Drosophila melanogaster: one gene and its partner. The protein of the gene in region 1 interacts with the protein of each later gene in a biochemical or structural test. Each region holds a gene or a part of one and is shown on either strand. Other genes may lie near its edges.

Region 1 (7,778 bases):
TGGGAGTTCTTCTATCAACTAACAAATCCTATTTCATATACAACACGTTAACTATGTTTGCTTGGTTAGTTCGCTTTCCTGTCGCTTGTTATAAGTACACAATATAGAAAAAATTCGCATCAGGCGGGTTGGGTTTTCATCCATGTGGTGGTGGTGGCCCGCAATCGCATTGGAGTATTTGTTATGGATATACAAAAGGGGAAGTTCGCCGCTAGTGGAATGCATTTGTAGGCTTTGCCGCAGGGATTAACTGATGATATTCCTCAGATAGGCGGAGTTTTCCGATTTAGGGTTCTAACTTTGGGGTTGATTAAAGCTAAAATCATCATGGAACTAATAGTTTTACATTTTTAAAAGTAATGCCGATTTTTTCCTTACTTGGGATACTTCCGAAATCCTTGTTATTAATTTGTATCTTTTCTTTTTTGGTCATCTATGATAAATCTTATGTTGTTATATTGATATGACCGCATAGAGATATTGCATGCTATCGGATGCATAAGCTTAAACCTTAAAATCTCGCAGGATTTCAGAAATATCCCTTAAATTACATAATTTCACTGGTGTGCGGTATTCTTTTTCGTTTTACTTTACAATTCTTCTAGAGTTTTTTGACTTATTTACCCAATAATTCGAATTCTAAAAGTATATCCGATCATTTAAATAATATTAGATAAAAACAAAGAATTTTTCAAGCATACTAACAGTTTTTTCGCTCTACAAAATATTATTTTTCAAAAGTATAATTTTTTTCGTCAAATTAAGTAAAACATAAATTTAGAATCAAACTATAGCACAAAATGGTTACTTGTTTGTTTCGTTCTAAATCCTGATTTTTACGCCTAAGACTACAACATGCATGCACAACAACAACAACAATTATGCCAACGACAAGGTTAACAACAACGACAACAACATGGAACACAGCTTGCCTCAAAACTACAATGTGTGACGGTTCGGATTATGGTGAATATCAGACGGATTCATAATACTGACTGGCTACCCGGGTGCGCGATCGATCCTTTCGCCTATGTGAGGATGGTGGCCTCGCCGCCACCCAGTGGGCGAGGAGCGCCCACATGCGGACGCTGCTGCTGCTGCTGGAGCCGCCCACCGCCCACCCTCAGCTTCTTGTGTCATTTCTTGCCACCGAAAGTGGGTTTCGGTAGCGCACCCATGAACGCACCAGCATTTGTGGGCAAGGCCGGTGCAACGAAGCTGAGATCGGGGATCAGGGAGATGCGTGGAGCCACCTTGGCGTTGCCGATTTGGAACTGCTGCCGCTGATGCTGCTGCTGGTAGGTGGCACCCACACCCAATCCTCCAGACACGGGTGCAGTCGAGAAGTCGTGCATGATGTGTATTTGCTGTGGAATGGCTGGCACATTGTTGTTATTGCTGCTGCTGGTGCTGCCCTTGGGCACTAGATTGCTATGAGGCTGTTGCTGCAGCTGCTGCTGCGCCTGGTACAAACTCAAGGGATTGTTGTAGAAATTAGCGCTCTGCCACGCACCGGAATTGAATTGTGGAGCCGGTCGTGCTGGCGGAGTACTGCTCACAAAATCCGACCAATCATCTTCTTTGGGAGCAGCTGGTTTCCTAGCGTTGCTGTTGACTATATTATTGTTGTTAGCAATTGCGTTTTGCTGATGATGCGGTTGCTGTTGGGTGACTGGAACAGAGACAAAGTCCGACCATTCATCGTCTTCTTGAGGCTGAGACTGAGCTGGCGTGGAAGGAGCTGGTTTCTTGGCCACCGAAGCGCTTATGGTGAGCGGTTTGGCCTGCGAGGAGAACAACTCCTCTATCCTGGCCATTTCCTCGGCATTTATGCTAGACAGAGCATTGTCGCCCCATTCAATAGTTGCAGCTGGCTTCTTTGCCAGCGGAATGGCTTGGGGCAGCAGAATAGCCGGACTAAGGATCATCTGTTCGCCAAAAGTGGGTGTATCAATTCGAGACCTTGGCGCCGGCATAGATTGAAAATCACTAAAGTCGTCATCTTCCGTCGTCTGTGGTGGCAACTGAAAGCTGCTGGCAGCTCCATTGCCACTCAGTTTGCTGGGCGAATCCAGACCAAATGGGGGTTTGTACTCCACGTCGCGATACTCCTTCTTCACCACCGTCTCATCGATGATAATGCCCGTCGCAGCCATCTCGTAGTCGAAATCAATGGGCGCTAGTGTGGTGGTCTTGGCCACCGCCGTATCCGATTTGGAGGGCGTATAGATATGGGTCTCCTTCAGCGGCACCGAATAGCTGGCCATCGAGCTGCCCACGATCTCCTCCTGAGCTGGCGCTGCGGCCGGAGGAGTGGTCCTCAAATCAAACTGCTCCGGCTCCGACCGCTGCTGATGCAGCTGCTCACCGCCGTTGAGTTTGTGGGCAGGGCTGTCTGCTGATAGAGTAGTCGGTAGCGTCGCTGCTGCTGCAGCAACAGCTGCTGCTGATGCCGCTGCTGTGGATTCAATATGGTTCGATTCGGGGCTGGGGACTGCAGTTGGCTGGTGGCTATGACTCGGTCGCTCTTCGCCGTCGGAATTGCTGGCGGAACAGGAGCCGGTGGAGCCTTCCCCATGAGACGGGCCAGTCCGCGTTTCAGTTTGGCTCGCCGTTGTTGCGGCGGCGTTTTCCAATCCTGTGCGAAGGAAAGAAAACAATTACTTGGCTGTCATGAATGAAAACTATGAGATAAACAAAGATAATTAATTAGTTATTCGGCTATAATCATCTGTTATGTTGCAGATAACTAAAAAAACACTGTGCTTATGAAAGATATGGAATGGATATGGATACTAATCTTGCATTAATCATTTTATTTTACTAGATACATTGTATCTTTTATAGAATCAAAGAAATCAGAAAATGGTTACATTTCAAGCATTACTTTTAGTTACCAGATTTAGCAACACATCAGATGATGGCTTAGTTTAGAGACAATATTTAGGTATTAGTATGATCAACTGTATCTAGCTAAGTAAAATGTGAAAATGAAGGGAACTCTTGGGCGGGCTTCAACTACTTGTGCTAGAACTGAGCTGGCTGAGATTGGATGCGTTGTGCCAAAGTAACAAGAACTGGGGGAACTGTGGATCGGTAGGACGGTACGGGTAGATAGAGAGATAGAGCTGAGAAGTATATAGAGAATCGAAACTGAACTGAACGAACCAAAAAAGAGTGGAGATTCAACTACAACACACGCACAGAGCCAACGAAACTTACTAAAATCCAGCAAGGCGTCGTGAGCAGTGAGGTTTGTGTTAATTGTTATTGTCATTGTTGCAGTATTTTTTGCATGATTGTTGTTAAGATTGTTGGGATTGTTATTATCGTTATTATTGTTGTTGCAGATGGTGGCAAAATGTGTGAGTGATGGAGAGTGGTGCAAATCGATTGTCAAATTGTGATCGTTATGGGTCATCAAATCCATCACAGGTGGCATACAATCCAGTTGATCAACGGGTGCAGCAACGTCGTTATCACCATTATCGTTGTTGTTATTGGTGTGGGAGTTAGAGGTAACAAGATTTATTTTATCAGCATTAGCCACCACCGTTAGTTGGTCTAGTTGTTCCAATTGTAATGTCTGTACATGTGATTCTAAATACAATTTATCGTAAGGATAAACTTTTTGATTGTTTGTTGAGATAGTTAGAAGTAATGTGGTCACAAGGAAAAACAAGGCAAACGAAAATCAATAAGAATATATAGAAAGGAGCAGCCAATCGAACGGCAGGCCAATCCGGGAAGCGTGTGTCAATAGGATCGGGAAATAGGCAACGAAAAGCGTTTGAAAGTAAAGCGAGCGTTAGGCGATAGGGTGGCAATTTCTCGATTTACGAAACTTGTGTAGCGGTTAATTTGCGGCAACTAAGTGGAGCAATCTCGCAGAGACTCTAAGGACACTCACCCTGGTAGCTGGTGGAATTGGAAATGGGCTCCAGGCTGCTTGCGGCGCCGGTTGATTGAGGTTTCAGCGGCTTCAGCGGATCAAAGCTCAGGTTGGCAGCAAAACGTGGCATCGATGAGTTCCACTTGTCGCCGAAGAGCTGGAAGTTTATGAATTTCAGTTATTTGAAATACATTTTGAAGCCCTATCTAACTTACTATATTCCTTGAATCGATGCCCAGCGATCGAACAAGGGCGTGTCTCATTTCCGAGCTGCTCCATTGGTAATCAAGGGCTTGGGCATGCTCTATGGCACCAAAATTGAATCGCTGGCACTGAGCCAAAGGCCTGCGATTGTCCATACTTTTGCTGTCCAGTTCCGTTGGTTGTGGAAACATCATATCAAGGACTGGCTTAACCCTTTCATCTATGCTCAGATGGACAGCAGCTGGCGGCGGTGGCGGAGGTACAGAAACAGGAGTCACTACGGGCGCGGCGAAGTCGCCAAAATCATCGTCGTCTTCGCTTTGACCGTGGTTTCCATTCGCAGGAGTGGCAAACTCCTGAAAATCATCGAAGCCATCATCGGTCTCTGCAGGAGGTAACTTAGAGGATTCTTCTGTGCTAGGAGCCGTCTTAACCTCTAGAGGTTGAGATTCCGTTCGGGAATTGATTGCTAAGGAAGGTGTCTCAAAGGCAGACGTTGAATTCTCCGTGATTTCTAGTTGGGGTTCTGCTGCTGAGAAATCCGCAAAGTCACCGAAGTCATCATCATCTTCTTGCTCTTGCATTTCGGGAACAATTTCTTTGTGTACTAAGTCTTTTGGCGTCGCATCAAGATTTGTAAATGAATATGTATCACTATTTGCTGGTTCACCCCATTGGTGAGGGGATTCCTCCTGATTTGGAGGATTTGATAAGCCACGGCTTTGATTTTCCATAGGCTTTTCTAAGGTATTTGAACTTTCCTCCTGGGCTTCCAAACTTCTAAAGCTTTCTTCTGGCTGGGAGGTATTCTCTACGTATTCTCCTTTCCCTGTATCCACATTCTCCTCCGAAAAGCCTTCTCCATATGGTAGGGTTGGAGTGGCCAATACCTCTATGGCAAAGAAATCCACAGCTCCCTCGCGTATAAATAGTTCTTTGGGCTTCTTTGGCGAGCACTCCTCGTCGCTGTCATCGGACACATCCTCCAGCGTGACTTGGTGGCTGAGGATATGGGCTTTGGTTGTTTGCATAGCCGGCGGAGCAACTGCACTAGTCTCCGCAACCGGTGAGAGTGTGGAGGCGGCAGAAACGCTTTCCGTGGAATAGAGACTTAGACTGTCCAACTTAAGGGAGGGCACATGCTCCTCCAGTTCCTCATCATCCAGTTCCAAGCTCAACGGAGGCGGCGTCGGCGGTGCTGTTTCCTCGAAAACATCGTAATCCATCTTCTGTTTCACCTGGTAATTAAATGCCTCGACGGTTTGTTTGTCTTCCAGCAAATCAGGTGGCTTTTCTCGAAATTCCTCCACGGGATCTGGTGGTGGAGGGGGTTCTAAAAAGCGAGAATTAACTGAGTATCACTTTGAGATTCGATAAATATCTAAGCTTGCCTTTCGAGCTGCTGACTAAGCCAAAATCTGAGTATTCGTCACCCTCGTCCAAATGGATGGTGGATTGTAAACCGGAATCGTCGTCTTCCTCACCAAAATCGATGGGCGGGGGGGTGCTGCAGAGCAGCGGTGGTACATTCACCATAATGCCAGCTGCAAAATTCAGTAAAAGGATCCCCTAAAATTCACTTCCTGCTTCAAGAAGAACAACAAAAACGCTGGGAACGGTTCGATCTTCTATCTCTCTCGCTCCACTTTATCACTGTGTGTGTGGTGTGTATGTGTGACGCAGGTGTGGAGGGCCTGCAAGTGTGTGTGTGTGTGTTAGCCACTCAAGGTCTGTGTTGGAATTTTCTTGTTTGCATTTAACACGCGTCAATTTTGTTGTGTCTCTGTATTATGTCTAATTGTCGCCTTATTGGTGGCTCTAAAAACAGATTTGCCGAATTTGCAAGTCGCGTTTTATCTGCAATTAGCCATGTTTTCCAGAAAACAATACTTTTTCCTCTGCCCACAGTGTGAACGTTTAACTTTTGGCCAACCGACAGTGCTGAAAAACGTTGCGCAACATTGATAACATACAAAATTTGAATCTTATCTTTTTCAATTCCCATTTTCGATTTAAATCATTATCCATAGTTCAGATAGAATAGTTATATTAGTTATATTTCTATAATAGATTTTTATTCTTTCCAATTCTTTTACCGTTAAAATTGTATTTGAAAATTATTAGTAACAAGAGTAAAATATACATGAAAGTCTAGGCTGCAGTATGTAATACGTCAAATTTTGTTGGGACACTAAACAACAAATAGTCGTCATAAAGGCTTCTTTTAAATTGTTATGATATTTTCCACAATTTCTGCATACTTTTTTAAGCTTGCTGGCAACGCCGCCACCGTACCAATACAACTATCGATAGCCGCCTGTCAGTTTTGACAGCTGTTTTAAGGTTATACTGCGCTGCCGTTGCAATCGCTCCACCAATTTGGTAATTTTGCTTATTTAACATCAAATATTGCATAAAACTAGGAAAACCAGGAATCTGTAAAGTGGAGCGAGACGGGGAACGCTATTAAGGAAGTCGGATAACTAAAGTACATCCTTTTCTTGCAGTTCACGGTCGGACAATTACATAACTTGAAGAAGAAACCATGTCGCAGGCTCCCGTTCGCGTTTCCCCGCTGATCAAGTTCGGCAGATGGTCCCTGCTCCTGGTGGGCATTGCCTACGGCGCCGCCCACCAGAGCCGCCTGTCCAAGAAGGAGGAGAAGTTGCGCGAGATCGAGGCACAGCAGAAGGCCGTCCGTGATGCCAAGCTCGCCGAGGAGAAGAAGCGCAGCGCAGAGGCTGAGGCCCGTGCCTTGGCTGAGCTTTCGAAGCCCACTCCCAAGCACTAGGATCCTTCAGGATGCAACATCCGCAGTTCCCTTAGCTTAAAAACATTGAAAAACCACAACATTTACACACGAAGTTCGCCCAAAAGGAGGAGCATCATCGATAGTGGAGCCACCATCTATCGATCACTGACTATCGTTTTTGTGTTTTCCTCTGATGCTTGTGCAAAAAACAGAATGTTCGAAATTAAATGATTGAAACAAAACCATTATGTAAATACTCTCAAGTGTTTCGTGTTTGTGATTAAGTGGTGTTCACTGGAAATATATTTATATTAGCATAGTGTTTGGATAGGAGAGGATTGAGAGAATTTGAGAGGGTTTGAGCTCCAAATTTGACTAGGAAGTACATATAAATATTTTTGCAAATTGATTATCAATAATTTTCCTAAATTTTGTTTTAAATCTTTTTTGATAAACAACAACTGATAGTTTACCTTATTGGATGCCCACTGTAGTTGCCAGCTGATTGGCCCACTTAAGATATTGGCGCCAACAGCTGATTTCAACCGGCGTTTATTTACACTTTCAATTCGCTCGCAAGTCGTCGCATGGCTCGGCTGTTTGATCAATAATCCCCCGGAATACTTCCAATTCCGGAGGTGTTGAGACACCTTTCGTGTTTCGGGGAGCCATTATATCACGCAATCCCATCGAGGACATGCCATCGCATCGCGATGACAAACTTTCTGGATCAATTGCCCAAGCATATCAGAGAAATCGCCGAGCAGGGTAAGAGTTTTGGGGTTCCAACAACTTTATTCAAGAGCCAACTAAATTCCTGTACTCCAGTTAATGTTCTCGCACCGGAGGAGGTGCTGACAACTCCCAAGGTGCGATTCCTGGACACCCGCCAGCAATCGCTGCACACAATCGTGCGAAAATGCACTCCGG
Region 2 (4,704 bases), on another chromosome or scaffold:
AATTAGATAGATATAAGTGACACTTGCCCGATCGATACTATCGCATCGCCCTAGCCGCTGGCAGTGCCATCGCTAGCAGTTCAGTCAACAATTTAAGTTTTTGTTTTTGTTGGCCAAAAACACAATACAATGTACACATTGATGCACGGCTTCTACAAATACATGACTCAGAAGGACGACTACTGCGTGGTAATCCTGGGCCTGGACAATGCTGGCAAAACGGTAGGCAGCTGAATCATCCAATGAAAGCCTCATGTCCAATCGGAAACTAACACCTGTGCCCACGTAGACTTACCTGGAGGCCGCCAAGACCACGTTTACGCGTAACTATAAGGGCCTCAATCCGAGCAAGATCACGACGACGGTGGGCCTCAACATCGGCACCATCGACGTGCAGGGCGTACGCCTCAACTTCTGGGATCTTGGTGGCCAGCAGGAGCTGCAATCTCTCTGGGATAAGTACTACCAGGAGTCGCATGGCGTCATCTACGTGATTGATTCCAACGACAGGGAGCGCATGGAAGAGTCCAAAGCGATATTTGGTAAGCGAAAACAGTCTTCGAACTAATCCCTTGAACAAAACTCGTTTTGATCTATTCTGATGATCTCTGGTAAAAGGAAAAAGGTTCACCTAAAATGTGTTATTCTCTTTCCCCACAGACAAGATGATCAAGAACGAACTGCTGTCCGGAGTGCCTTTGCTAATCCTGGCCAACAAACAGGATCTGCCGGATGTGATGGGCGTGCGGGAGATCAAGCCAGTTTTCCAGCAGGCGGGTGCTTTAATCGGGCGGCGAGATTGCCTCACCATTCCCGTATCCGCGCTGCACGGCGAGGGCGTGGACGAGGGCATTAAGTGGCTGGTGGAGGCCATCAAACGACATGCGGTGGTGCGGCCGCCGCGGGAAAACGATTAGAAGATCAAGCAGAAGACATCTGGGCCTGGTAGTCGGCCCTCCACTGGCTTTAATTAGACATGTACTTTTGTAAGTTAGGGGCTTAGGATAACGCTTATTTGTAATTAGCCAGACGAGATTGCGAGATACCAATTGTAAAGATGCGTTGTCATTATTTGCAAAGACCTTTCTTTTCGGTTAACTACTGCTGAGAAAATGAGGAAAACAATGTTAGAAAGCTGTGAGACTTCTGCATAGGACAACGAATTACAAATACTATTGTTAGAATAACAAAGAACGCAATGCTTATTAGCCAATTAAGTGCAAGAACTATAAATTCAGAAGTACTTGAAGATGTATTTGAAGAAGTACTTTGTTCTGTTAATAACCCAGATACATGGGTATTTGGATGCCAAAAATGTAATAAAACTGAATCCATTCGCAGCTGTTATGGTTAATCGTTAGCCACAAAGTGTGTGGGCGATTCGAGGTCCACCAAAATCGGGAGAGTCGCTTCTTTATCTAACAGCACTGCACTCGTAGTACACCTCGATATGGCGGTTGTCAATGGGGCTCCGCTTATCCGAACCGAACGACACCGAACCGCGGAAAGAAACAACCAGCAAACAGACGGGATTGTGGTGTTCTCACGGCGGGGGGAGCATTATTATTACCATTATCAGTCCGATAGATAAGTGCTGTGTGTGCCACCAAAAAGCAAAGGCGGAGGAAAATGAAAATGAACTAAAAACAACACCTGGTGAGTGGCACTGGAATCGTCAGTCTTCCGCAGGAGTTTCCACCGCTCGGACTGGAAATGATCGGCCGCCAGCAAGGGCTAGATAGCTAGACCTCGAGCCAGAGCTAGAGAAAAGAAGAGCGTTACCTGTTAATTATTAGTGTACATTAGATAAGGCCTATGTGAAGCACTCGCCGCTTATCGCTGCCATTCCCATACCCGAACGCGCTCCCGCTCCCATTCCATTCGGTTTAGTTCCGTGCTCCAGTGAGAAGCCACCATGTATCCGTATTACGAGCAGGACTGGAGCGTTCTGCCGCCGGAGAACAATCGCAGGTGAGATGAAATCCCGCCCGGTGCTCGTTCATACCCTTAAAGATTCGCCAGTCGATCTTTAGAAAATGAGACTTTTGAAAGTGTTTTTCAAAAATGACGTTATCGCAGTGTGACCGTCCATTGACCGCTCTGCATAGCGGTATTTTTTTTTTATTTGTGCTGTGGTGTGGCAAAAGAAAATCGTTGAATCACCCTGTGTAAATGCAATTTATTGTCCCCCTATTATCTCTTTTATTTTGGTAAAACTGCCCCTTCTCTACTGGCATTCCATGTGAGTTGTTGCGGTTCGAATGCAATGCCATGGAAATATAATTAAGTGCATCTTTTACTTTGATAAGGCAATCAAATTAACTGAACGAATATTAAACTCAAACTGTTACTTATCTCTCAGATAAACACAATTAATTTGTAATGATTTATGCCTCAGTCTTGATATTTTCCGTATAACTATTTGTTTGGTTGATAAATCATTGAATACCTACCCACTGTGCCATCAAATGCGCTAACGCCTATCAGCGCGAGGCGTTAATGCCTTTTGCGCACACTGCTTGTAAATATCGCGCTCTCGCTCGCACCCACTACCACTGTTGCGCTCATCATCAACATATTCTCGACGAAACATTTTTTTTTACTTGTTACGTTGATTTTGTGGCGTTTAAAATAGCGATTAACCAGCGCCAAGTTGGCCCAGCGAACATGTGCTAAAGCGTAAATGCAGTGCTAGAATAGGCATTTATTCAATTGCAGAATCATTCCAGTTAAAAGCGAAGGTGTGTGCGTGTACTTGCGACGACGGGCCGTGTGTGTTGAAATTTTTTTTTTAGTTTTTGTCGCGTTGTTAAATTTTATAGTTGAAAAAAGCTAACGTGTTTCCTGATTATTCATTAACAAAAAAAACGTAACGCCGCCAAGTGCGCGAATGCATCCAATTTGTTAAAACGGAAATGCCCGTTGAAAAGTGTGCCATAGATTTTCCTGCCCTTTTCTTGTTGGCCCAAAAGGCATGCATGAGTGTATATATGTGTGTGTGTGCGTGAGCAAGTGTGTGTAGGCCTTCCAGCGAATCGCATAAATTAGCAGGCGAAAAATCACATTGAAAACAAACGAGGAAAGCTCGCAAGAAAAAAACCCTACGTGTTAAATATATACTATAGGGTATATAGGAGTGACGTTATTTCATGACTTTTTAATGCAATCGATATGTATGTATGTATGTCAGTTATGCTATCGCTGGCAGCTGTTTTCGTTTTTTGCCCAGTTCACTTAATAAAATATTAAGTGGACATCAGTAAACAAGTTGGATTTTTCGGGCTTACTGCTTCTCCTTTTCCAATTGGAAACCCTTTGCGCGCGTATGAATGTCTCTATTAATGTGTGTGCGTGTGTGTGCATTAATCATTTAATCAATTTGCATTGCGCTCCAAACTAAAGTGAATAAAGCACAGTAATTTGTTGTTGCCTTGGCCAGAAAGAGAGATCAAACGTATTTGTTTGAGCCAACTCACACACACCCACACCCATGCACGCATCTGAGATGTCAGTTTCATAACAACAGCGATCTACTTTATGTCAGCGGTAATTGTACCTGCTTTTATTTAAACTATTCAGCTTATTTTTTCCAATTCCATTAGCTTGGAAAGAGAGCAAGCGAGAGAAGGATAGAGAGTAGGAGAGCAAGTGCAACAAAATAGCGGCCGGCTGTTATTCCCTGTGTGTGTGTGTGCGCGCGTGTGTGTGCGTTTGTGTGGGAGTGCAGGTGTGTGTGCGCGGAAGATCTGCAGAGGAAAAACCGTTATTTCGTTTCGCTAATTTGTGTTGTTGCCCCGCCGCAACAGCAACAAAAAGAAAACAGAAGAGCACATAAGCCGGCAAATAGTTAACAAAACCAGACGTAATAGAATATAATAATAATAACAAAAATATAAATAAAAATACGAACCAGTAAAAGAAGGAGCAAAAAAAAGGCTGCCACACAAGTGATTCAACGTTTCTCGTCGCCACAATGAACTCCGAGCATGGGTAGGATCCTAAACAGCAGTGCAAACATCCCTAGAATTATGCCCATATAAACCCATTTAACCTCTTCCTCCGGCAGATTTAATCCAGCCTTCAATATGGCCACCATACGGCAAGCATTCACAGAGGCGGTGGAGAGAGGTAAGTCCAAGACAGTGAACACCACTTGGTAGATTGCTCCAATAAGAAGATGATCGTGTGCTTGTGATCACCCAAAAGGTGGCTACAAGTACGCTGCACTCCTTATTCATTCAGATATATAGTTATAGTTCTATTAATGACCTGAAACGAAGGATACAGGCAGGGGTTAAGAGAGAAAGATCAGCGGCCAGACAGACAAAAACCCGATTAATTAACATATTCACATCCACTTCTCGCCCACAGTCAGAATGCCTACGCCCACACGCCTGCGCGACCTCATCCGACAGATTCGCGCCGCCAGAACCGCCGCCGAGGAGCGGGCGGTGGTCAACAAAGAGTGCGCCTACATACGGAGCACGTTCCGCGAGGAGGACTCCGTCTGGCGGTGAGTCATCTACACCCGGTTGCAATATACATATGTATATACTATATATATATATATATTCGCCCACAGCTGTCGCAACATTGCCAAGCTGCTGTACATACACATGCTCGGCTATCCGGCTCACTTTGGCCAACTGGAGTGCCTTAAGCTGACGGCCAGCACGCGGTTCACAGACAAGCGGATCGGCTACC

What was found. Proteins that work in one complex are often made in the same cells at the same time.
Region 2: the proteins of Afti (region 1) and AP-1gamma form a complex in vitro, tested with the Drosophila melanogaster proteins (one study listed by BioGRID).

What each region holds. Positions count from the first base shown.
Region 1 is NT_033777.3:14,320,650-14,328,427, forward strand, and holds Afti (aftiphilin), read right to left. Parts: upstream 6,041-7,778; 5' UTR 5,633-6,040; coding exon 5,488-5,632; intron 5,430-5,487; coding exon 4,108-5,429; intron 4,050-4,107; coding exon 3,911-4,049; intron 3,601-3,910; coding exon 3,223-3,600; intron 2,639-3,222; coding exon 1,137-2,638; 3' UTR 428-1,136; downstream 1-427. Other genes in the region: ATPsynE (ATP synthase, subunit E), read left to right, coding at 6,642-6,887; spn-B (spindle B), read left to right, coding at 7,562-7,616, 7,677-7,778.
Region 2 is NC_004354.4:9,107,016-9,111,719, forward strand, and holds the start of AP-1gamma (adaptor protein complex 1, gamma subunit), read left to right. Parts: upstream 1-1,675; 5' UTR 1,676-1,915; coding exon 1,916-1,971; intron 1,972-2,534; exon of another isoform or gene 2,535-2,972; intron 2,973-3,602; exon of another isoform or gene 3,603-3,973; coding exon of another isoform or gene 3,974-3,990; intron 3,991-4,066; coding exon 4,067-4,128; intron 4,129-4,371; coding exon 4,372-4,513; intron 4,514-4,582; coding exon 4,583-4,704. Other genes in the region: Arfrp1 (ADP-ribosylation factor related protein 1), read left to right, coding at 130-222, 290-542, 661-917.